Linked DNA regions of Arabidopsis thaliana. The protein of the gene in region 2 purifies or fractionates together with the protein of the main gene of each other region. This does not show direct contact. Each region holds a gene or a part of one and is shown on either strand. Other genes may lie near its edges.

What was found. Proteins that work in one complex are often made in the same cells at the same time.
Region 1: the proteins of PTAC2 (region 2) and PTAC3 fractionate together in Arabidopsis thaliana (co-fractionation; one large-scale study listed by BioGRID). This does not show direct contact.
Region 3: the proteins of PTAC2 (region 2) and FLN2 fractionate together in Arabidopsis thaliana (co-fractionation; one large-scale study listed by BioGRID). This does not show direct contact.

What each region holds. Positions count from the first base shown.
Region 1 is NC_003074.8:1,120,979-1,130,690, forward strand, and holds PTAC3 (plastid transcriptionally active 3), read right to left. Parts: upstream 6,604-9,712; 5' UTR 6,538-6,603; coding exon 6,157-6,537; intron 5,904-6,156; coding exon 5,732-5,903; intron 5,619-5,731; coding exon 5,401-5,618; intron 5,290-5,400; coding exon 5,229-5,289; intron 5,132-5,228; coding exon 5,059-5,131; intron 4,978-5,058; coding exon 4,900-4,977; intron 4,794-4,899; coding exon 4,636-4,793; intron 4,423-4,635; coding exon 4,254-4,422; intron 4,082-4,253; coding exon 3,619-4,081; intron 3,530-3,618; coding exon 3,104-3,529; intron 2,997-3,103; coding exon 2,793-2,996; intron 2,707-2,792; coding exon 2,573-2,706; intron 2,449-2,572; coding exon 2,253-2,448; 3' UTR 1,970-2,252; downstream 1-1,969. Other genes in the region: AT3G04250 (F-box associated ubiquitination effector family protein), read left to right, coding at 972-1,850; AT3G04270 (two-component response regulator ARR22-like protein), read right to left, coding at 6,926-7,105; RR22 (response regulator 22), read right to left, coding at 9,160-9,336, 9,460-9,711.
Region 2 is NC_003070.9:28,117,122-28,126,381, reverse strand, and holds PTAC2 (plastid transcriptionally active 2), read left to right. Parts: upstream 1-3,804; 5' UTR 3,805-4,067; coding exon 4,068-5,902; intron 5,903-6,200; coding exon 6,201-6,515; intron 6,516-6,606; coding exon 6,607-6,711; intron 6,712-6,811; coding exon 6,812-7,145; 3' UTR 7,146-7,718; downstream 7,719-9,260. Other genes in the region: AT1G74860 (uncharacterized protein), read right to left, coding at 782-1,792, 2,516-2,692, 2,936-2,950; AT1G74840 (Homeodomain-like superfamily protein), read left to right, coding at 9,065-9,260. UniProt on the Arabidopsis thaliana protein: Involved in plastid gene expression.
Region 3 is NC_003070.9:26,012,945-26,020,334, forward strand, and holds FLN2 (fructokinase-like protein), read left to right. Parts: upstream 1-3,079; coding exon 3,080-3,120; intron 3,121-3,368; coding exon 3,369-3,703; intron 3,704-3,785; coding exon 3,786-4,438; intron 4,439-4,518; coding exon 4,519-4,990; intron 4,991-5,077; coding exon 5,078-5,421; downstream 5,422-7,390. Other genes in the region: AT1G69190 (Dihydropterin pyrophosphokinase / Dihydropteroate synthase), read right to left, coding at 187-1,637, 1,762-1,765; AT1G69210 (Uncharacterized protein family UPF0090), read right to left, coding at 5,639-5,938, 6,029-6,137, 6,236-6,411, 6,499-6,569, 6,853-7,114; SIK1 (Protein kinase superfamily protein), read right to left, coding at 7,354-7,390. UniProt on the Arabidopsis thaliana protein: Required for proper chloroplast development, most likely through regulating plastid-encoded polymerase (PEP) dependent chloroplast transcription.

The DNA of each region.
Region 1 (9,712 bases), on a different chromosome or scaffold from region 2:
TAAATTTCAACGCCGTTGATTTTACGTATCGGGGTCAAAGAGTCAACAAAAATCTGGACAAAACCAAATTCTTTTGTCTTTAGTTAACACGTGTCTAAGACGCAACAGTGTTTTCTTCTCAAAGGTTGTAATTTACAATCCACCCAAAAACAATCTTTAATCTTTCCCAAATAGTGCCGCAAAGGCATTAAATGTGCCAACAATAAAACGTAATCCTGATTAATTACCTTAAATATATTGAGAAAAGAAAATAACAAAAAATTTACAATATCTTCCTCTCTTTGTCTACTCCAATATATTTTCTTTAAATACAAAAAAATTGCATACTAAATCGAATTCAAGGGTATCACAATTCTAATCTTATTTGAACTTAACTGCATGTTTACTTGATCTTCTTTTTCTAGAAGTAAATATTAAATGTCACAAAAATGAAAACAATTCACATTTGATTTTAATTAAAGATGGACGCGTGTTTTGGCAGCTTCCACTTATCAAATGTTTCAATTAAAGATGGAATTTAAGATACTGTTTTAAATTCCAATAAGCCCATAGTTAGCCCAGCTTCATACAAACTTGATGCTCTCCCCATACAAATGGTCATTGTTGGTAAAGAACTTGGATGTTATGAATGTGATTACCAAAAAGAAAACAAGAGAAGATTCTGAAGCCCACGATTGGGCCCAACTTCAAATTCCTATGTATAGTCTTCTGCGGGAAAAAAATCAGAGGAAAAGAAGAACACTTTTTTAAGGTTAAAAAAAAAAAAACCTTGTTGCAACTTGAGAAAACGACAACGATGATCTTAAATCTTCCAAGGGATTTGATAGAGGATATTGTATCTAGACTTCCCATGAAGTATATGAGGACATTGAAATTAACTTGCAAAACGTTGTACGCTTTATCCCAAAGTCAGAGCTTTATGAAGCTGCACATTAGTAAAGAAGCAGCACCGCGTAGAACAGGATATGGACATGTACAGGTACGCTCTAGGGTACGTGAACAAGAACAACTCTTGTCGTAGCCACAAAGTCTTGAGGTTTATAGATCATTACATCTCTTCGGCCGTGAACCACGCACCCGAAAACCGGTTTTCATGGTATGAAATCTACGATATTGAAACCGATTTATGGACAACTCTTGATGTCCCTCCATATTGGATAGTATCGTGTTATCAGCGTGGTGTTTCTCTCAAGGGAAATACCTACTTTTGTGCTACAAAAAGTAACGCAATAAACAAAATCGACGATCACATAATCTGTTTTGATTTCACAAGTGAGAGATTTGGGCCACTTTTGCGTCTACCGTTTAGCGCTGGCCATGATGACTATGTGACTTTATCTTGTGTTAGAGAAGAGAAGCTTGCGGCTTTACTTACGCACAACGACTGGAATCCATATGAGTTTGAGATATGGATCACGACTAAGATCGAGTATGATAAAGTGTCGTGGAGCAAGATCTTGGAAATGGATACAGGACCATTGGCTGACATGCCGATTGCATATATACATGGGAGTTTCTTCATTGACGAGGAGAAGAAAGTCTCCATGGTTTTTGATCACCACAGAGTCAACATCATTGGAAAAACTGGATATTTTAGAGAATTGGATCTCCGAGTACATGTAGCCGGCATAAAGTGTAGGCCACATTTGTGCCCTTACGTTCCAAATTCAATGCAAATCAAACAACCTCCGGGAGGCAAAAGGAAACGAAAACCCATTCTAGAACAGCGTCGATATGACCAAAACATGTTGAGAGTTGCCGCCTTTATAAAGCGAACCAAGCAGGAGGATAATAAATGGAAAAAACGAGTCCTCGAGGGTCTGAAGAAGCAAACGAATTTTAAAGCCTAATTTAGCCTCCTTCGTTTACTCACTCTTTTTCTCATTGAATAAGATTACTATCCTTATTTTGTTTCTTCCTATCTTATGCAATATGATGAGGATTTTCTAACTTTTGTTACTATCGTTCATTTGTTTCTTCCTATCTTTTTCGTGAACAAAACGTTTGTTAGTAAGACCAATTCAGCTGCGTCTTGCTATTTGCGTTTCTTATATAGAAAGATCCAACACTAAAGAATTAAGTATCAGACTGGAGGGACCTGGTGCAACACTAGTAAAAACTGTTCTACACTCGGAACTACATGACTTGTACTTATAATGAACAAAACTTTCATAACTAAGACAGATTCAGCTCCTTCTACCGATTTCTGTTTCTTATAGAGACTTCACAACAAGCAGAAGAGGATATGATAACTAAGAGCTTACTGTTGATGCTGGCTCTTCAGGCTCAGACCGCGGACTCTCATTAGATTGTCTAGCAGATATGACCTTGTCAAGGGTTTGATCAGGGACAGTGATCCCTGTGGTTTCCATATCTGCAACTATGGCGATGGCTGCATCAAGTTCTCCAAGGTCCAAACACAATGTGATGATCTCATCGTACAACGGGCTGCAACAGATTTTTACCACGTGTATTCAAATGTCATTGTTTATAGTCAAGTTTAGTCATATCGAACGCCTTAGACTAGCTTCTCTAACAGACTAAACCCAAAGAGAGGTTGTAACTGAGTTACCTGCCAAATGAGTAGCCAAGACTGTGTGTCGTCTGCAAGATCTTCAAGAAGGCTGAAGGCATGGGAGCTCTTAAAGCAGCTCGTAATATCACTGCACAATCACCAATCGTTGGAATTCCACCCAATTCAATCACCTACACAAATTTATCATTATTATTAACATGAAGGATCATAAAACAATTTGTGTAATAATGCTTTAGAGGCTTGAAGGAACTCCTGCCTTTGTCATGAGCACAATTGCCAACTCGACTTCCCACTCTTGTGACCATTTCCTTGGAGTTTTGTTCTTAAAATCCTTCTCCCATGTCCAACCCCAAACGTCTGCTATTGTATACATGTCAGCCACATCGAACACTTTTCTTTCCCTCATTTCTTTGAATGCTTCAAATGGTTCCTCAGGGAACCAATCCTCATCTGCATCATCCTGATATGGAGGTAATCGGCATTGTGAAAACATGCTTAAACTATCAAATTCATAATCATGTGTCTACTTAAATCATAACCATATCATAGTGTGTTATACGTACTAACCTCAAGTGTCATACGAGATGCCCTCTTCCCACGTTTCTTTGTTCTGTTTGCTTCATCGGATTCTTTCAAGAGTTGGACTCCAATCATTTGAAGATGCTTCTTCGCGTCAGCTGCCTTATTCTTCACTAAATCTTCTCCTTCTGCTCGATTCTCAGTTTCTGGAACAACCACTTCTTCCTCTTCATTTTCATCATCATCCTCATCTCCTTCTTGTTCCTCCTCATCATCATCCTCCTCATTGTCAGCTTCTTTTGAAATATCTTCAATCGCTTTCTCCGATTCACCTGTAACCACTGATTCAGTCGTTTCCTTGGATTCAACTGAAGTTTCAATCAAGCCTTCTCCAAGAAACCGACGTTTCCAGAACTCTGTGTCTCCTTCATGTAGCTTGATTCGACATATTAAATCGTCTACTTCTTCATCGACCTATATCAAAAACAAACTTTTTTAGATGTAACAAGTACTAAAGATGCATGTTTACCCGAATGAAAGAAAGAGCATAAGCATAAATTTACCTCCTCCTCTTCTTCTTCAATTGGAGGAACCCAAAGAGGTCGACCTCGAGATTTGTTTATTCTCCTTGCTTTTTGGACACGCTGGTAAAGCACATTTCTTGTTCCATCAATTGGCAAACCCTGAGCTTCGAGTTCTTCCTTTAACTCTGATACAACCATCTTGCTTGCTGCTTTCGGCTTCAAAAGATTCAGTGCAGGACCTTTTATTATGTTCCGTAATCTCTCCACCACTCTCATGTAATCAGATTCTGATGCATCTCCTAGAACTGGAAGACCTTCACTCTGTAAGGTTCTCAAGAGCTTCCTATGGTGAACTTTCCAATCTTCAAGGCATCTCTGTTTAAAGGATGTTTCAATAGGGTTTGAGTATATAAAACCAGAAGCATCGGGATCTAAAGGAGTTTTCCCTCTTCGAGGTACCCAACGCTTGCGTTCACCAGTAAGTCCCCCTTCCTCTATGTACCTGAAAATGTTTACAGAATGCGAATCTTAGTATATCAAGACAACATGTAAAAAAAGACACTATACTTCCTTTCTGACAATTAGAACAGAGCATTAGCGTATAACTTGTAAATGGGAGGATAGAATCTGATCAACAAAATTCCAGTCAAACCACGCAGAACTCAAGTTTTTACCTCGCTAAATAATCAATCTCATAGCCAAGTTCAGCTTCTTCTTGCAATGGTTCAATCCATGAGCTGACTAGTGTTCGATACTTTCTGCTCATAATCATGGCTCTTGGAGGTATAGGTTGGTTATCTTTGCGCATTGCATCTAAAGCATCAATAAGCTCAACAATTCTTCCTGGTTCAAAGGTAGAGGGTACCGTTTAAAGACAGTAAATTTAGCATGTCCTAAAAATCAACAAATATAACGCTTAAGTATAAAAACAGAAATAAGGGAAATAGAGAACCATAATCATAAATCGTTTTAATCATAAGTTCTCATGATCTCCCAGAAGGTGTTCAACATATGCCTCTGCATATTATATTGACACAGGTACAAGTGTATGCATACCTTCTCGACACAAAGCCCTGAGATACAAAGAGAGAGGATCCTCAAAATTCCCTGCATTGTGTAAAATTACTGTTCCTCCTTCAAAGTTTTTAAGAGCACGAAAATGTCTAATCGCTTCCTTCACGACACAATATTTGGTGAAGCACTCAACTAAGAGCCTGAAATGGATCATCATACAGATCATATTAGGATTTTTACAATAGAACAGGTAGAAATGCAAAGTTGGTAGAAATGAGTACAATACAGAAATAATGATTCTCTTACGCATAAGTCTTCACATTTGGCTGCACACGTTTGTGGTCCTCAACCATCATTCCAAGTAATTCAGCAACATCCTGAACCCTGTGATTCATGCAACAGGCTACCTGAAAATTTGTCCACTTCTAAGAGAAATGTGTGCAATCAAAAACTCATAAGAATTACCTATCATATGACTCGGCTCTAGTGTAGGCTTGAATCACCCAGTTATATGTCTCAGTGTCAGGCTTCATAAATACTACCAAATCAAGATTACATCAAGCCATGTCAAAAGCCATCAGGCAACAACTAAACCAAACAATTGAAGCGGAAATTAGCTAAGAAAAACATACAACCTTCACCGTACTCCATATTTTCGAATGTAGCATAAGCTACCTCGGGAATCCCACATGTAGCCTACACAACGGAAGCAAAGAAAAATGTAGTTGATGTCAACAAAAAGACTTACCATCTTCATTATACAAAGAAGAAGTGTGTGTATACGTTCTAAAAAAAAACATAACAAACCTGCACACTAAGAAGACAGTTGAAATGAAATGTTGTGGCCATTCTACCAGCTGCCTCCATTTCGTAAGAGATGTCTAAGGCATTAGAATGATCTCCAGCTTTGCAATCTTCTTCAATCATCAAATCATAAAGCTGATCTGTTGCTCTCATCCCACCTCTTGCACCCTTCAAGAAAACTTTATTCGCATCTTCCAAGTGATTGATCCTCATGAGCTCCTCTATAAAAGACCACAATCAAATTATAAACGATTACTCAGTAACCTCAATCCTGGTAGACACAAGCAACAACCATTTGATTCTAACACATAGTCTTAGTAGTAAGAGAGAATACCAACAAGAATGAGCCAAGCTTGACGAATGTCATACTTAAGCTTTTCCATAGCGGCGAGGATTTCTAGGCCTCTCGTAGCATTCCCTTTCGAACCAGAGAGACGAACCAAAGCAATCATAGTCTCAGGAAGCGGACGTTGGCCTGCACCTAGCTCCTTTCTCAGCGAGTGCATCTGCAATCACACACAAACACACACCAAGCAAAAAAAAAAGAAGCAATCTTTCAGTTCAAACACACTCAATAAGCTATGAGAAAGAGTAAAGTTCTAATTTTGATACAAAAAATTTGTAAAGTCTTAAACCATAACTCAAGTTCTATAAAGCACAACAATTCAAATTCGATTTAGTTTAAGCTCCAGCATTGTATGATTTCTTAAAAACATAAAGTCTACGTCTTTAATTTAAGCTATAGAGAGAAGCATATACCGCGCCTTGTTCGTCGCCGTTAAGCGCGTGAGCTACAACCAAACCATGGAAAGAACGAGGTCCAGGGCTAAGCCCAGCAGCAATCATGTCATAGATAACCTCAGAAACACCTGAAGTATCTCGATTTCTAGCTCGTTCCATAAGCTCGTCCATAAAAGTGAGGCGGAGACTCCTCTCCAGAGCGGAGACAGCTTCACCACTTCCGAAAGACAAAGAGTCGTCATTCTCAGCTCCGTCGCCGCGCTTCTGCTTCCTCCTCCTCCTCGGTTTCTTCTCCGGTGCAGAAATTGAGCATCGAATGGAGGATATTCCGGCGGCACGACGAGGAATTGGGTGGATTGAATTGGAGGGAAACGGAGGATTGAGGAACAAGAGTGACATTTTTTTTTTGCCAAAGTCTGAAACTTTTTTTTTACTGGGGAATGGATAAAGTGATTTGAAATTTAGATTTTTATTTAATTAAAATGTAGACGATGATCATGTGCAGATCACGTGAGTTAATTGGATTGAACCAGACAGAACCGAACTAGACCAAATTGCATTGAACAAGATTTATATCAGTAGTCACATAACCGAACTAAACCAAGTAATATTTTGTTAATCGGTAGATTATGCGGTTTTGAGATGGTCAATGATGGATGCGATCTTTCCAAAGGTTAAGGGCTTTGACAAGCAGTGGTCAACTCCAGCTTCCATGAATGCCCTAGTCTCGTCCTCATGTGACGTCATCCCCACGATCATTGACGTCACATTCATGTCACGTAGCTTCTTATTTCTCGCCGTTTTTCACCATGTAAGGGAATCCTCCAGCCATTTGAATGATTCCCATGTGGAGTGTACGACAAGATGGATCATCGTCAACGACCAACACCGTTAGTTTCTTCTTATATATCAACGACATGTTCTTCCCAATTTCTCCTCTCGATTCTTTCTTCTTTGTCTTCATCATTCATATAATCACAACAAGAACCCAAAAGATCAAGTATATAAGCTAATCATGTTAACTCTTATTTTTGGAAACAAGAGTATTACTCAAAATAAAAGGAAATACTTGGAATACGTGTTGAAAATTTTAGAGATAGTAAAAAAATGGAAGTTGTCGGTGAAAAAAATTATTTGTTCTACACTTACAAAAAGGAAATCAGTTTTTACGAATAGTTTCGTTTACTGGTATGAGTAATTTTTCCATCTTAGTTAGGGTGGAGAAAAATGCTAAGCATCCACACGGGAAATCTTGTTAATTAGTGTTTGAAGACTTTGCGCCGAAGTAACAAAAAAAAAAAATGTGAGCTTGAGTTATGTAGTAGAGGAATATTTAGTTTAATTGTAACACATTTCAGATAAAATGATCGAAAATGCATAAGAAAGAAAACAGAAAAAGCGGACATACAAAATTTCACACAAATTTTGTCAGAACTTTCGTAATCCACATTATAATACACAGCGTTTTTCTTGGATATCATTAATTGTTGAACCACTGATTCCTGATATAGTTTATAGATAACACTTTCATATATTTTCGAAAGTAATATCAAAACAAAAGTGAAAATAATTGTATTTACAAACATATGAAGATGTTACGATGCCATACGTATGTTAAATAAAGAAGCAGAGACAAATAACACAACACGATCTTGTTTATCTAAACAAATCATAATCTCAAAAAGCTATGGTATATATAGAAAATATTCGAACTCATCAATCCTTTGTTCTTCGGTTCAACCTCCCAAGCATTTCCGAATCAAACCAATACACCTGAAAAGCCAAGTGAAGAATTGGTTTGCCTATATATAACAAATTTGAACTTTCCAGAGAGACATAGTAGATGCTTTGAAAAGTGAAGTACAGATATAGAGTTCAAACAAAACAACTCAAAATTAAAGTGTAGAATATAACTCCACTTCAAACACTTACACAACCAAAGCTTTTAAGATTTAGAGTCACGAGTTATACGGCTGCAAGAAATGTGGTCACAACCAAAGAAATTCAGAAACGTTAAATTTTTGTTTGATGTTCTTTTTCTGATTTAATTCAAAACAGATATCAAATAAAAATTTAACGTTTCTAAATAAATAAATAAAAAGATGTCCAAAAAAATTGTGTTATAAAGTCAAAATTAGAAGAAAAAAAAATTACATTTTATGTTCTGATCTTTAGACCCATAGCTAGTTTCTTGATTAAAAATTTGTAATAATTATTATTTATAGTGCAACATTAGTATAGGTACTTTCTGAGTGTATAGCACACAATGCTTAATCAAATTTGGCTAAGATGATACACGCCGTTGAAAATAGAATTTACTCTTATTTACACAAACCTTATCAAATCCAAAGTAAGATATGATGTACCCAGTAGTAGTACCCTATCTTCTTAATGACATATAGTATTGGACAAAATAATATGACGTATATATGCGAAGAACAAGAATAAAATATATATACATTAAAAATATGGAACGTAAACTGGAATTGAAATAATATGAAATATTATGTAAATTATGTTTTTGAAAAATAGAGAAAAGAAAATAGATATAGCTAGTAAAGTGTTTATATTTTCATCTTTTTGAATAAGATAAACAAAACATAAATATAGTCAGATTCGCGATATATATTATTTTTGTAAGTATTATAATTATTCAATTAAATTAGCCAGTTACATTACATATTTACATACATACATTATTTTATTTTTAGTAAATGTGATAGTTATTTAAAATTTAGAATTTATCGCGAAACTATGTATAATTTTTTTAAAGTTAACTGATATGGAGATTTGCATGAGCCATATGAAGTAAATTAGCTCATTCAACAAGAGAAAACCTTATTTTAATATTTTATTAGCCAAAAGAAATGACTTGCATGATTTTACCTCGGACGATAAGAAAATAAATCAAACATAGATATGAGAAACCCTATATCACAACAAATGCAGATTTTTGTGTCAAATACACGTGTAGGTGATTTCATGATTGAAAATATAGATACATTAATGAGCCTTCATCCATCAAGCATCGAAGAGGTGGCTAATGAGCGGGAAGATCTTGGCCTTGGTTAAGGGTTTTTCCAAGCAATGGTTGAGCCCAGCTTCCATAAAAGCCTTACGCTCTTCTTCTTGGTCAGCTACTGACGTTACCCCAACGATCATTGACGTCACTTTCATTTCTCTTAGCTTCTTAGTTGTCTAAATTAAATCAACAAAGAACATAAAAACTATATTAAAGAGGAGGTTTTTAAGTATAGTGATGATCGACCCACTTAAATTGTCTATTTGGTAAGCAGATTAAGATTCAAGATCATTAAGTACCGAAACTCCATCCCTCTCAGGCATTTCCTTATCCATTAGAATAAGGTCGAAAGATGCTTCGCCGTCACGGTGGAGGATCACTGCCTCCTCGCCATTCTTTGCAGTCTGAGAAATTCCTCCGATCGTTTTGATGATCATCTCGTGGAGTCTACGGTTTAATGGATCATCATCGACGATCAACACGTTGATTAGTTTCTTCTTCACTTCTATCGACTTGGTTTTCTCGGTACCTCCGGTGGATTTTGTTGCCATC
Region 2 (9,260 bases):
AAATATATCATGTTTCCTTAAATGATCATTAATATATTATTTATGATCATAAAAATTCTTATATTTTCACAAAAGAATTGAAAGAATAAGTCCTCCGTAAGTCTTAATTACTCTTTACGTAGAAGTAAAGCCGGTAATTATATTGAAACGGTCTTTAACTTTTTAAACAGAAGATTGAACAAACTCGCATTTATAGATATCGCAATCTCTTGAGTCAAATTATTTATTTGATTAACATTTCCTTATTTAGTCCATGATTCATGGTCGCAAGTCCAAATTTCCATGAATAAACTTTGACCAAGTCACAAAAACTAGTATTTGCTAAAGACTTCTACGTAAGATTATTTACATAGGTACGAAATGGAAGCAATACAATGGTAGCTCTTTAGTCTTACACCATCCAGGTGTAAGTAAGAATTTTAAAGTTTCCACCTATCCTTATATATTAGATGATTATAACCATTTTGCTGGAGCATCCTACTGGTTGATTAGTTCTGCTGCAAATCTTTATTCTACGAGAATGGTACAAGCTGTGCCCATTAAAATACAATAAAGAAACATAGAACATTCAGAATCTTGGACATCATATATATATAAACCCATCACAATGGACAAGAGTTTACACCCAAAACCATAATGCAACAAAAGGGCACTGCTACTGATATCAGTTTTTAGACCATACACTTTCAAGTTTAAAGGCAAGAAGGAAACATAATAAACTTAATATGATATAGCAAATTAGATGTATGTCGATATTTACTAACCTTCCAAGCCACATGTGCTAAGCATAGACTACATCTCTAGATGATTCACTGGTAAAGCTAGGCTTCAGAGACTCCAAGTAACCATCGTCTTTCTCAACAGTCTTCTGTTTCATGTTTCTACTCTCCTCAAACGAGGAATCTCCTTCAAGATTACTTAAGACCTCCTTCTTTCTCTTCCTCTTGAACGTGTACTTGATGCACCGATTTTTACTCAGTGCTAAAACTGGAGTTTCTTCGCACAAAGGAGATGCAGAAACCTCCATATTCTCACAGCTCTCTTTTTCTTCCTTCCTTGCCTCTGTTTCGCTAATCTCCAGCTTTCTGTCATTTTCATGTTCCCTCGGAGGAGATGTTTTCAAGGATATAAGAGTGCCGACATCCTTCTGAGAAGAGTTTGGAGACACTATTGGGGCTTCTCCATCTTTAACAGAAGATATGGAGTCAGTAGCATCAGCACAACCAGACATTTCTAAGCTCTCTACAATTTTACAAGACGAAACTTCGTGAAGACATACTCCATCATTCACATCTCCTACTTCTACAGAGGAAGACAGAACCCCATTGGCCATACTGCTATCTACTGTGTGGATCATCTGAGCTAAACCTTCAGTTTCCCTGCGTTTTGTCAGTATAGATGGAAGAGTGTAGTGACATTGATCCTTGTTATCTTTATAAGAACACCGGTTAATACTATTTATGCGAGTCAAAGACGGTACTTTTATCCCATTAGCCACCACTGATCCATTTTGTTCCACTGGGATGCAAAAACCTACAGCTTCTGTGTTCTCGTGACTGCAAGAAACCTCAGGCATTACAGAAACTGCAGCATCACGGTTATTCCAACAGAGGTTTTCCTCATGATTCTTTTTAAGATGTTTCTGACCATCCGTAAGTTTCTTGAGCTCATCGTGAAGTACTCTCAACTCCAACCTCAGCTCTCCTACAATATCTTCAGCTTCTCCAAGCTGAGCTTCAAGTTCCTCAACCTTCTGTTGCTGCTTCAAGGATTGCATCTCTGTCTCCTTAACCTATAAACACAAATCGGTTTTTTAAAAATTAGAGTTGAGGAGGAAACGCAAAGCCAGCCACAAAAGAAAGATATACTCCATTAGGGAAAGCTCATCCTCAAGCAAACGTGATACAGTCTCTAAGATGAAAAAGCTATATCCCCCACACTGAAAAACCTTTAACTTAAAAATTTCACGATGAAATGAGAATTGAGAGCATAAGCCATGAAATATGTGTAAGCCTCACTGCCAACAATGGTACAACGAATCTAGAACTTGCTGACACTAAGCTACACTTGGTTACGCTCATTAGTTTTAGGCCTTAGGTTTCATGAACAAATATCAATGGAGGAAGAGAAAAGCTATATCTGCAAAGTATCAATGTAATAGTCTCAAGAGTGTCAAAAACAATGGCTTGTATCAACGTTCAATGAAGTGAATGTAGTGAAAAAACATAGCAAAAATGATAGTCTCGAAGCATATCATTTGAATGATGGAAGATTTTAGTCACTTCAAATGTCAAAGACTGAATAAACAAAACTCAGAGTCACACACACACACACAACATTAACAATGCTTAAAACCATGAAAGCAAGGCTGAAAAACTTAATTTCAAAAGCCATCTTCATATGAAGCAAGAAAAAAGAAATGCCTCTAAGACCCCAAAAACATAATCAGGCAGAAACCAAATAAAACAAACCAAGAACCCATAAACAAATGAAAATAAGAACAAAGTGATAGTACCTTGGAATCAAGCATCTGTTTAAGCCTAACCAACGTATGAAGTGCTTCATTTCTAACCGTCACAAGTTCTTGCTGATACCTACGCGCCTTCTTCTCAGAAACCATCACACGTGCCGCCGCTTCCTTCGTCGTGTTCAGTATCGTATCGGCGTAGGCTCTCTTCAACGCCGCTAAGGTCTGTGTTAACCCAAAACAAAACGAACAAAAAATCATCGCAAACCCCGAAAAGAAAAGCAAGACAAAACCCACATCGTGAAACCCAAAATTTAAACAAAATTAGCGAAATCAGCAACAAGATTCTGTCCGATAAGAGAAACAAGGTCTAGAAGAAACAGAACGAAACTAAACGAAGAAAAATCCGAAATCGAAAAAAATGAACTCGTGAGAGGAGGAGATTGAGGGGGTTTAAGGTAATTGTACCTCTGGGTCTGCCATTAGAGCCGATAATGCGATTGCAGAGAAGCGATTGTTGATTTTCCGACCAAGGTCGCGAACTCGCCAAGAAGAAAGAAAAAGCTAAAAAGGTTTTTTTTTTTTTTTTTGTTTCTTTTTGTGTTTCCTTGAAGCGTCTGTCTGTTAGGAACAGAAAGAAGTATAAAGACCTATTTACCCCTAAAAACTCGATGTTATTTCTCAAACGCCACACCACACGTCACGTCAGCTTCAGCATTTCAGACTGCAAACGGCGGTACGGTTTCCCGTTATCTCCGTCACTCTTTTCGTAATCTCTCTTTTGCTTTTTACATTTTTCGGTGATAAATTTACAATTTCAAAATACACTGGACTTTTAATTTTTACCTCATTTAGACAATTAGACCACTAGATTTCGTAGCTTTTACCCCAAACAAAAGACTATATTGTAGCTAGTTCTAATTATTGAATTTTGTATCAACTATTCCAATACGAGACATGATATAATGTTCCATATTTGGTAGATACATTCAAAGAAAAAAAAAATGGTAGACAGCTAAAAAAGAAGCTAGCTCATGGGATTAAACCAAAATTAAGATATCCAAATGATTTTGAAGTTTCGATTGCCTAGAAGATGGATGGACAATTAAACCGACTTATAGAACATTGTCTAGTTTACAACATATATTACCAATGTAATTGTATTCTACTATTTACTAGTGTACACTAATACTACTTTTCTTGCAATTTTAGGCGCCAATTTTTTTTGATCGAAAAATATCGAGTTAACCAATTAAAACCGGGAAGTAATCATTAAACCGGGTAATGACCGGGTGATTACTCGAGACTGTTATCCACAATAAGAATCCACGTGTCTTCTTCAAGCCCCTCCCTCTTCTTCCATTTTTCCGCCATTTCACCTAGAGAGCGAGCTTTTGGGTGAGAAAATCTCTTCTTCTAAACTATTCTACTGCCAATCTTAATTCGTGCGTTTCTGTCTAGAGCTTGGTGGTGACTAGTAACTTAGCCGTTAATCTTAAATCTCTGATTCAATTCAAATCGAATTGCGATTTTCCCGAGAAAATCTCGTTTCACTTGCTGGAGGATTTTTGAATCCTTATGTGAACTCTAGTTACCCAAAATGAACCTAGCAATTCCAAATCCCAACTCACACCACCTCTCCTTCCTCATCCAGAATTCAAGCTTCATCGGAAACCGGAGATTCGCCGACGGCAACCGTCTCCGTTTCCTCTCAGGAGGAAATCGTAAACCATGCTCCTTCTCCGGTAAAATCAAAGCAAAGACTAAAGATCTCGTTCTCGGGAACCCCTCCGTCTCCGTGGAGAAAGGAAAGTACAGCTACGACGTCGAATCGCTGATTAACAAGCTGAGCAGTCTCCCACCACGCGGGAGCATCGCCAGGTGCTTAGACATATTCAAAAACAAGCTTTCGTTGAACGATTTCGCACTCGTGTTCAAAGAGTTCGCTGGTCGCGGCGATTGGCAAAGGTCGCTTCGTCTCTTCAAGTATATGCAACGGCAGATATGGTGCAAACCTAACGAGCATATCTACACTATTATGATCTCTTTGCTTGGTAGAGAAGGTCTACTAGATAAATGTCTTGAGGTATTCGACGAAATGCCTAGCCAAGGTGTGTCCCGCAGCGTTTTCTCTTACACTGCTTTGATCAATGCTTATGGTCGAAATGGACGGTATGAGACTTCTCTTGAGCTTCTTGATAGGATGAAGAATGAAAAGATATCACCTAGTATTTTGACTTACAACACTGTGATTAATGCTTGTGCTAGAGGTGGTTTAGATTGGGAGGGTTTATTGGGTTTGTTTGCAGAGATGAGACATGAGGGGATACAACCTGATATCGTGACTTATAATACACTGCTTAGTGCTTGTGCTATTAGAGGTTTAGGTGATGAGGCTGAAATGGTTTTTAGGACTATGAATGATGGTGGGATTGTTCCGGATTTAACCACATATAGTCATCTAGTTGAGACATTTGGGAAGTTACGCCGGCTGGAGAAAGTATGTGATCTTTTAGGCGAGATGGCCTCCGGCGGTAGTTTGCCGGATATCACTTCTTATAATGTGTTGTTAGAGGCATATGCGAAATCCGGGTCTATTAAGGAGGCAATGGGGGTCTTCCATCAGATGCAAGCTGCAGGGTGTACGCCGAACGCAAATACATACAGTGTTTTGCTGAATTTGTTTGGACAGAGTGGGAGGTATGATGATGTGAGGCAGCTTTTTCTTGAGATGAAATCAAGCAATACGGATCCTGATGCTGCTACATATAACATTTTGATTGAGGTTTTTGGGGAAGGGGGGTATTTTAAGGAGGTGGTAACTTTGTTCCATGATATGGTGGAGGAGAATATTGAACCGGACATGGAGACATATGAGGGTATAATATTTGCTTGTGGGAAGGGGGGACTTCACGAAGATGCTAGGAAGATCTTACAATATATGACAGCTAACGATATCGTGCCAAGTTCCAAGGCGTACACTGGGGTTATTGAAGCGTTTGGGCAGGCTGCTTTATATGAAGAAGCGCTTGTTGCTTTCAACACCATGCATGAAGTAGGAAGCAATCCAAGTATTGAAACATTCCACTCACTGTTATATTCGTTTGCAAGGGGAGGACTGGTCAAGGAGTCTGAGGCGATTTTGTCCAGGTTGGTGGATTCTGGTATTCCCAGGAACAGAGATACGTTCAATGCACAGATAGAAGCGTACAAGCAAGGAGGCAAATTTGAAGAGGCTGTGAAGACATATGTAGATATGGAGAAGTCAAGATGCGATCCTGATGAAAGGACGCTTGAGGCTGTTTTAAGTGTGTATTCTTTTGCGCGGCTTGTTGATGAGTGCAGAGAGCAGTTTGAGGAGATGAAAGCTTCTGATATACTGCCCAGTATCATGTGCTACTGTATGATGCTAGCTGTTTATGGGAAGACGGAGAGGTTAGTGCCTTCGCCAGTAATACACGGTTTCTGATGTTTTCTTTTGCGTGTATTTTTATAGCTCATACCTTACTAAGCATGATGATTTATTCCATCATCATAGCATTTTGCTCTTTCAGTTGCCTTCTGTCTATACATGGTCAGGCATGGGGGAGATATGCTAGTGTAATGTAGCACCCTAGTTAATTTTCTTGCAGCTAACTTGAGTGTTCTGGATAAGCAGTAACTTTAGCCATTGTTTTGTATATAACATCTTAAGATTTTAAGCAACACTTCAAATTTTTTTTTTGGTTTATAGGTGGGACGATGTCAATGAGTTATTGGAGGAGATGCTTTCAAATAGAGTATCAAATATTCATCAAGTTATTGGGCAAATGATCAAGGGAGATTATGATGATGACTCAAATTGGCAGATAGTGGAATACGTGTTGGACAAACTCAATTCAGAAGGATGTGGTTTGGGAATAAGGTTTTACAATGCACTTCTGGATGCTTTGTGGTGGCTGGGCCAGAAAGAGCGAGCTGCAAGAGTACTCAATGAGGCAACAAAGCGTGGACTTTTCCCTGAGTTATTCCGGAAAAACAAACTTGTGTGGTCTGTCGATGTACATAGGTAGCCTAAGATCCCTACACTGGCTTCGTTTCATGTGTATGAAATGGTTGAGTACCAGTCAATCTAATTCTTGGTTTTCAATGTTCTGCAGGATGTCAGAGGGTGGCATGTATACAGCACTATCGGTTTGGCTAAATGATATAAATGATATGCTTTTAAAGGGAGATCTTCCTCAACTAGCTGTTGTTGTTTCAGTGTAAGTATTTTGATACTGGGTACCTACCTCATTGCAAGATGCCTTCAAGCTTTTTATCTTGCCTTTTGCCTTTTTTAATTCTTTCTTTCTAACCTCTCAGACGGGGACAGTTGGAGAAAAGCTCTGCTGCAAGAGAATCTCCTATCGCGAAAGCTGCTTTCTCCTTCTTGCAGGATCATGTCTCGTCCTCATTTTCCTTCACGGGATGGAATGGAGGTCGCATTATGTGCCAGCGATCTCAGCTCAAGCAGTTACTGTCAACGAAAGAGCCAACTTCAGAAGAATCCGAAAATAAAAACCTAGTGGCATTAGCAAACTCGCCAATATTTGCGGCTGGAACAAGAGCTTCAACAAGCAGTGACACGAACCACAGCGGTAACCCTACACAACGAAGAACCAGGACGAAAAAAGAACTAGCAGGGAGCACAGCTTAAGAACTAGACAACGTAGTTTCTGTTGCCAAGTCCAGAAATCAAAGGCCTCTTCTGCCTTCCTCCATATAGACTGGTGGGTGAAAACTGTGGGCGTATTTCACAAGCACTCCATATCCATGATAACTATGCTATGGTTTCAAGCAGTAGAGTCAACCTCTGTTAGACAGAAGAAGCTGGAGAAGAAGATAAATGGTGATCTTAGTTTATATGAAGAAGCGTCTATATGAAAATCTCAAGTAAGTAGCCAACTAAGTGTTTTGATGGATTGTTAGACCCATGATTTTGCAGCCATAGATTTTTTTTCGTTTTTTTTTCCATTCAACTATGTTTTTGATTACTATAAAGCTAAATGCTAATGTAAGATCAAAGCTCTAGTTACAATTAAAGGATCTATTAATCAAGATTCCTCAGGGAAGCTCTAGTTTTTGCTTGTGACCTCACCTGATGAACTCTCTCTGTTTCGAAATCTAACTTATTACATAGCAATGACCCAACTCCACCCAGAATAAAGAAAACAATCTGTTGTGCAAGATTCCTTCTTCGGTCTGATTAATCTTTTTCTCTCTCTCGTCCTCAGATATGTGTTTGTTTTCTGATTTAGGAAAGTCACTACAAGTTTGTCATCCAAATTGGTAATAAAATAAGAAAAAGATTGGAGAAAGAAAGGATCTTCCTATAGTGCTTCACACATTACAACTTTAAGATTCCACTTTGTGTGCGCATAAAAGTAATGGTGGCTTTGCTTTCTAACCGATGCTAGTGCTTTGTGTGATTTTGCTGTCTTCCAAAACTATTTACCAAATTTTGTAAATACTTTTTAGAATCTTTTCCCTACAAATCTAAAATAGATAAATAATAATAGTATGTGATCATATTGCTTACAGTCAAATCACATCCTAACATTCTACTAAAAGACTAAAACTATCACCTTTTTGTTTTTTAATGCTATATAGTTGTGATCAAGTCTGGACATACGATCATGCTGTTTATACTACAATTAGGTCCTTAACAGCGTCTTAAAATTTACTCTTAGCTAGAAAACGACAAATTCGACTACACAATCATTTTTGTTGTTGAATTAGATTCCTGAAATTGTAAGTTTTTGTGTTGAAATTCAAAGTTATAATTTCCAAAAAGGATTCACCTGTCTCCCAAGATTTTTTTCTTAATAATCAACTCATAGATCCACAAGATATAGTATTTTAGAAGAAAAAAAAGTACAAGGATGGAGCTGTAACTAAATAGATTATTAGAGCAGAGTACAGAATCATTTCAGAAGCTGACTATTTTTCTAAGCTCAAGTTGCATGCGCTTAGGCCTTAGAGACATTGCGTTGACCAGTACATTATAACCTGTAGATTTTTATCATAAAAATACATGAGGGTAACGTTAAGAAAAATAAAAGCGTCGATTTCATTTCATTTTTCTCATTCTGTTATTTCATTTTTTTGTATTTAACTTTGAGTTTGCGAAAGTCAATAAATATTTCTTCGTTATACGACCTACATTTTTTGGTCGACATAGCGAAATACTTTTTTAACTTCTTATTATAGGATAACATTTATTTAACTCTTTTTTCGTCATCCTATAAGATTAATTAAACTACTAACAAAAAACCTAATAAATCTAGTCAGCCAATGAATAAAAAAAGTCTATCCAAATGAAAACTCTGTAGAGAGACAGGCAGGTAAGAAAAAAATACAAGAACAGACGAATAAAAACAAAACACGTGTCATATGGTACCGTCACCAACACCTACAACATGTAATAGTTTAAAAAGGAACCACGTGGCTTTTGGCTTATAAAAGGGTCCCCAAAGAAGCTCAGATCTAACTCACACCACTCCATTGCCCATTGCTCTGTGTACTTTGCTTCTTTAGGAGAAAGAAAGCACAAGGGGCAAAATCGGAAAGATTATCATGGCCGACGGTAGTACTAGTTCTTCGGAGTCCACTACCGCCTGCGCTGGAAGCGGCACAAGAAGAGAGATTATGCTGTTCGGAGTCAGGGTTGTGCTTGACCCGATGAGAAAGTGCGTGAGTTTGAACAATCTGTCTGACTATGAACAGACGGCGGAGACTCCAAAGATCGACGGCGAAGATAGAGATGAACAAG
Region 3 (7,390 bases), 2.1 Mb from region 2:
TGAATACAAAGGCTAGCAAATAAGACTTAAAAGAAACTTTACAACTGCGAATAGACAAAGGGATTTTAAAACTGCCAATAAACTTTATAAAATGAACTAAATTCTTCTGAATTTCATACGGAAAAACAAAATAAACTTATTTTTAACACATCTCAAGTCTTAAAACCATACAACAAATCATATCAACTAATCAACATTTTTGAACCTTTTCGTCATCATTGCATCGCATAGCCTTGCCGCGTCTACATTATCTCTAACATTATGAACTCTAATGATATTAGCACCTTTTAGTATCCCAGCAGTAACACAAGCAACAGTTGCAGCATCTCTTTCACTTGCCTCAGGACGACCACAAATATCTCCCAAAAATCTCTTCCTTGAAGGTCCTATAAGTATAGGTGCATGAGACAATCCTATACTCTTCTTAGCCATCTCTTCCCTGATTTTTGGTAGCTCCATGACAATATCTAAATTATGATCTATTCCCTTAGAAAATCCAATTCCTGGATCAATCATAATCCTCCAAGCTGGAATCCCAGAGAGTTCTGCTTCTCTTACTCTCTCATAAAGCTCTGTGGCAACATCTTTGCATATTTCATTATACTCCAAATTCTCTTTGTTTTGCATTGTACATGGATCTCCTCTCATGTGCATGATCATATAAGGAACATCAGAATCCGCAACAACCTTATGCATGTTCTCGTCTAAACTTCCTCCGGATACATCATTCAAAATGTCAGCTCCATTTCTTATTGCTTCTAAAGCAACCTCAGAGTTAAAAGTGTCCACTGATATGAGCTTTCCCTTCATCTCTGCCATACCGCGAACAACTTTTAAAACCGGAATCAGTCTATCTATCTCTTCTTGACTAGATATTCTTGAGGCCATCGGCCGTGTTGACTGTGCACCGATATCAATAATATCTACACCTTCAGATATCATAGACCGGACCCGAGAAACCGCGGTATCTACCGATTGAAACTTACCTCCATCACTAAAGCTATCAGGAGTAAGATTAAGTATACCCATCACATAAGTTTTCTTAGAAAAATCCCATAAATGATCTCCTATTGGTATAACCCTTTGTATAATACCGTCTTTTCCAAGCAATGACTCACCACCTAACCGCTCCCACGCTTGGAAAATTCCACCTGAATGCATTGAGAGTGAATGCCAATATGCAACTATTTTATCATTATCAATATCTTCCGTTCCAAGCAAATCTACCAAAGGTGCTAAAACAAATGGTCTTTCCCAGATTCTCTCATGGGGAATGATAAGTTTATCAGAAATTATCTTGTGCTTTCCATAGAACAATATGTCCAAGTCAAGTGGTCTTGGTCCATACCTTAAACCATTTTCTTCACGACCCATCTCTTTCTCAATTTTCTTGAGAACGTTCAAGAGTTCATGAGGTTTGAGCTTTGTGACACCTCTTATTGCAGCGTTGAGAAATCTTGGTTGGTCGGTCACATGAACAGGTTCTGTTTCGTACAAACAACTGTGTCTGGTTACACTGATCCCATAGTCTTTCATCAATCGTAAAGCTTCTTTGAAATTATTCATTCTGTTTCCAACATTGCTTCCCAAAGCTATCACGACTTCTTCGAAAGTTGTTGTTTCCAAAGATGTGAAATCTGAGTCATATACAAAACATGTTTCGAAGGTGAAATATGATTCAATACTTAACAGAAATTAGTGTATCAAAACGTAAACGCTGTTTTTTTCAACGAAAATGAAACGGATGAAAAAGATACGAACCCATTTTAGAATAGGTTCCTCCAAAATATCAGTATTGTCTGCTTCGATCTGACCTTAAAGTATACAAAACTATGAGTTTAGTCTTAGATAACAACGAAACAATTATTAGAAACACAAAAAATGGGTTCTAATATTTTAAGAACCAAGGAAGTAAACAATACTTATGTATGAGAGAGGCAAGGTGGTAGCCAATTTTCACCTACTTTTTTTCTGAACTTGTTGTGTTATCCAAGTACCTTCTGTCTTTCACGCTCGTCAAAAGTCAGCTTCTCTTTTGAATTAGATATGAAGATCTAGAAAAGAAAAGAAAAAAGAGAAGAAAACTTTGTTTTTAGAGAGATTTTGAAATTGGTAATGAATCTCTCATAATTTTGAAATTGGTAGTGAATCTCTCATAATTCTTTTCATTATCTATTCTATCTTTTACCATTTAAACATATATTTGGATAGATGATGGAAAATTGTGTGTTAGTCTCCAGCTATTTCATTCCATTTTTAAAAAATATCAAAATTTTCATAGATTTGTTCTGACTACATCAATTTTCTTTCATTCCACTCAAGGCACTCATGGTTACATTACCAATAGAAATTAATTAACCATACAAAATTCTAATTATTATAACTCCAGACGATATTATTTTCACTATATAGCAAAAAATAGCCGTTTTACCATAACATATATACAGTCTATATTTTTTGACGAAAAATAAATAAATATACAGTATATATATATATATATATCCTCGTGTTAGAATTGTATTAAGTTTTTCATCACACCATCTTTAGGCATTATTTCTATGCCAATCAAATCATTTACTCGTAAATCATCATAGTAATTATGATTTCAGTTAATCGTAAGTTTTTTGTAGCTTTGTGATGATGAGCCAATTAACTTCACAACAAAATATTTTCCTTGAAGTAGTTTTTTAATAGCAAACGATTTCACGAAAAACTTTACATAACAAATATTTCTACCTACATTAAAAGAATGTCATATAGACAATACTAAATTCACTAGCTTTAAAGAAGAAAAATGAGCCGTAAATAAATTATAGTAGACAGAATAGGGACATCTTGACGTTTTAGTATTTTGATCATAGAATGCTTGCCGTTTCGTTAAAGCGCTAAACCTCCTCCTCATCCTCTCCCAGCTAGCTCCTCTTGCGGTTTCAGAGCTTAAACCCCAATCTCCCTCAAAACTCATAAACATATTGCTCTCCTTTGTTCATTTCTGGGTTTACGCTTCTTTCGACTTTATGGGTTTCGGAGCTTAGTTTTACTACAATTTCGTTTGGAAAAGAGCTCTTATTTGATGTTCATGGCGTCTCTCTCCTTCACCCAATTCTTATCATTCCCCAGGTCCCTTTGCTTCTCTCTCTCTCTTGTTTTCTAACCTTAGGAAATTTTAGTATATGGGTTTCTATGGATTTGGCGTAGAACCAGTTTACTGCCCAAAAATGTGCGAACTTTAAGTTTAGCTCATCTTATCTTTCTACAGAAGAATGGAGTAACAATGATTTGAATTGAGGGCTATATTTGTCTTTCTGTTTGAAAATTTCACATTTTGATGTAATGGTTTTCTCATAGCTGTGCTTTGATTTTGGCAGATGCAATGCAGATGTTCCTTGTCTGCTCCAGTCGCATGGTTTTGTGAAGTTTAGAGGTGAAAGATGGAATGGGAAACAAAGCTTTTCTATGGCTGCTGGTAGGAGAAAGTTATCAGAGTCAGCACCTCTTGAAGAAGAAGGTAATGATGGAAACGGTGCGGTTGTGGGAAAGAAACCATCTAAAAGTGTTAAGAGAACAACGAAGAAGAAGGTTGTGGTTAAGGATGAACCATTAGAAGAAATTTCTGAATTTTTGGTTGATAATGATGATGTTTTAGACAAGGAAAGCATTGTCTCAGCTTTGAAACCAAAAAAGACAAGAACTAGAAAGAAAGGTAATGACTTTTACCATTTCTGAGCTGATGGTTCTCACTTGATGATTCACGAGTACTTAATTTGAATTCGACATATATACAGCTGCAGCAGCTTCTTCTGATGTGGAGGAAGTAAAAACCGAGAAGAAAGTGAGACGAAAGAGGACTGTTAAGAAAGATAAAGATGTGGAGGATGATTTAGCTACTATTATGGATGCTGAGGTTAGTGATGTCGAGGAAGCATTGGCTGTTGAAAGCACTGATACAGAGAGTGAAGAAGAAGAGATTGATCTGAGTAAACATGAAGGTGAAGATATTAGTCACACTTATGGATGGCCTCCTCTCGTGTGTTGCTTTGGATCTGCACAACATGCTTTTGTGCCTTCGGGAAGGCCAGCAAACAGGCTATTAGATTATGAACTACACGAACGGATGAGAGATGCAAAGTGGGCTCCAGAGAAGTATATCCGGGCTCCTGGAGGATGTGCAGGAGGTGTTGCTATTGCTCTTGCAAGCTTGGGTGGTAAGGTTGCTTTTATGGGCAAACTTGGGGCTGATGACTATGGTCAAGCCATGTTGTATTATCTGAATGTGTGCAAAGTCCAAACTAGATCAGTTAAGATTGATGGTAAAAGGGTTACGGCGTGTTCTACTATGAAGATCAGCAAGAGAGGTCGCTTGAAATCGACTTGTATTAAGCCATGTGCAGAGGATTCACTTTCAAAATCTGAAATCAACGTTGATGTGCTCAAAGAGGTAATATATTGTCCTGGAGATTTGGAACATTGAGTTTTTGGCTCTTTTTCTTGTTCACCAATCTCTTAACTTTGGTGCAGGCGAAAATGTTCTACTTCAGCACGCATTCTCTACTCGATAAGAAGATGATGTCAACTACGATACAAGCCATCAAGATATCAAAGCAACTAGGCAATGTCATTTTTTATGACTTGAATCTCCCTTTACCACTATGGCACTCCAGCGAAGAAACCAAGTCTTTCATACAGGAAGTGTGGAATCTTGCAGACGTCATTGAAATCACAAAACAGGAACTTGAATTCTTATGCGGAATCGAGCCTACTGAAGAGTTCGATACAGAAAACAATGACATCAGTAAGTTTGTCCATTACCCGCCAGAAACTGTGGAACAGCTTTGGCATGAAAATCTCAAGGTCTTGTTTGTGACCAATGGCACTTCTAAGATCCATTACTATACCAAAGAGCACAATGGTGCTGTTTCCGGAATGGAGGATGTTCCCATTACTCCTTTTACAAGGGATATGTCAGCATCTGGAGATGGCATCGTTGCAGGTACATTTTCACTTGTGTCATTTGTTTTTCATAGCAATTTGGAAGTTATGCTTGCGATTAACTGAACCACACTACTCTCTATTTCAGGTCTAATAAGAATGCTTACGGTTCAGCCAGATCTTATGAACAATAAAGGGTACCTGGAACGCACAGCGAGATATGCAATTGAGTGTGGTATTATTGATCAATGGTTGCTGGCACAAACCCGAGGATATCCTCCAAAGGATGACATGGAAGAAGAAGAAGATGATGAAGAAGAAGATGAAGTGGAATCAGATCCAAACGGTATAAGATCGATAACAGAGAAGGAATACAGAACCTCAAAGCCTTATGATGAACCAGATGGTCCATACGTTATGAAACCAGTAGAGGAAAGGGAGTACAAGAAGTTAGAGCTTGTTGGCTCAATGTTTGAAGATGGTAGTTTATGATTTTCATAAGATTTGATAATGTTTCTGTTAGTCAGCTTTTTTTTCCTGTTCACATCTTACAACATCTTAGTAGTGTGAATTTTTGTCATATGTTTTGATATCTCACTCACCATCTCAACTAATACAAAATCACTTGAAATTATCCGGAAACAGCAATGTGAAACTGCAGTGACGATGAACTTACTTTAATAGCAACTCTACTTCTACGTCTACTTAACTAATCCAAGTAGAGATTTATCTTCTTGTGATCTGCGAAAGGCAGTGTGATTCTCAAGTCCTTTTGTTTCCGGCTTAACGGTCTGCCTTTGCTTTCGGGATCTCTGTTCTCCCTTACATCTGCTAATTTCCAGACACAGTTATCTGATTCTGCATCTATAGACTCCAAGAGGAACACTCCACTCTTTACTGCTTTCCTCGAGTTTGTTTCTTCTACATAGCTTACTGTCATTGGCATATCCTTGAATCGGGGCAAGTCCTCTGGGACTCTCAGTAGCCTCTCCGCTCCTGGAGATGACACCTACACAGAAAAAAAAAAAACGGAAACAAAATTTTGTAACAAAACTGAACCAAGTGAGAGTTGATTCACTGGGGAAAGACTCTTTTTGACCTCAAGGGCTAGATCCTCTGGGATTACTTTTTCAGCCCCAGCATCATCTAGTCTTTTCTTAAATTCTCGACTAAATTCCTCAAGCTCATCCATGGTAGGACATCCATATCTTTTTTGTACAATAAAAAAGAAGAAGCTTTCGTTAATTCTCAAAACATACTGCTCTTTTGCAATGGTTTGATGATATAGAAGGGTGAAGAATCTTACTCAGTGGAGAGTTTGTCTAGTCTGACGTATATATATCCACGCGGTGAAGTTTTGAAAGCAAACAATTCCAAGTCTTTCTCAGACTGCTTCAAAACTTGTGCAGCTATAGAGAGAACTCTTTCACCCCATGCTACACCTTTAAGAACAATTCCACCACCATCTCCTCCATCACCAAGCTGTAAAACAGAAGAAAGATTAGCTTATAAGAATCTAAGAAACAGAGTGGCGATTTTGACGTGAAAATGTAGTAGAAAGAGATATACCTGTGATTCAACATCCTCATCTTCGTCTTCTTCCCAATCTTCTATGACCTCAACATCATCAGTTGCTTTATCTGCCAATTTGATTGGAAGCAATGTTTTATGAGACCAATTAGTATCTTATGACCTTTATGAAATACCAGATTCTAAGGACAAGAAAAAGCATTAAAATCATAAGGTCAAGGAAGCGAGAGAGCAAGCAACATTGAGAAGATACATTTTTTAGGCAGGAGACATTTTAACAAACACCTTAAAGACAAGAAAAAGGCAAACACACAGAAAGACCGTAAACAAATCCTAAAACCCAGAAAACAGAGAGGCAGTCAAAGAAAACAAGGTTTATTTATTTTATCTTACATTCAAAAGTGTCTTCTTCGTCGCCATTACTACCGGCGGTTTTTGGCGGTCGAGCTGAAGGAGAAGGAGAAGAAGACGAAGAAGAAAACGTAGAGATCGAAGAAGAGAAAGGAAAATAGCGAGGAAGAGTAAGACGTGTCGTCGTCTTTGGAAGTAGTAAGGAAGAAGAAAAAGTTCTAACGGAGATACAAGTCGCCGGTTTGGTAAAACGGCGAGAAGCTCGGAACAAAGCAGCTACAAAGAGATTTTGGTATCTCGCCATGCTTTTTCGAATTTCCCACAGAGACACGACTTGTAATAGTATTTATTATTAAACCTAAGGGGATACTATTTATACGAGTGTTACAAAATCCGTTTGTTCCATTCAATCTTCTAGCAATTGTGCTAAGAGGAGACAAAATTGATTGGTTTTTAATAAAAACTTCTAGGAAAATAAACATGTACTTGCTGAGACGACCTATACTAATACAAGAGTAGCAACAGATATGAACACAAGACTATTTAGAGGCGGAGAATAGTGCGAAGAGTATCGCACAGA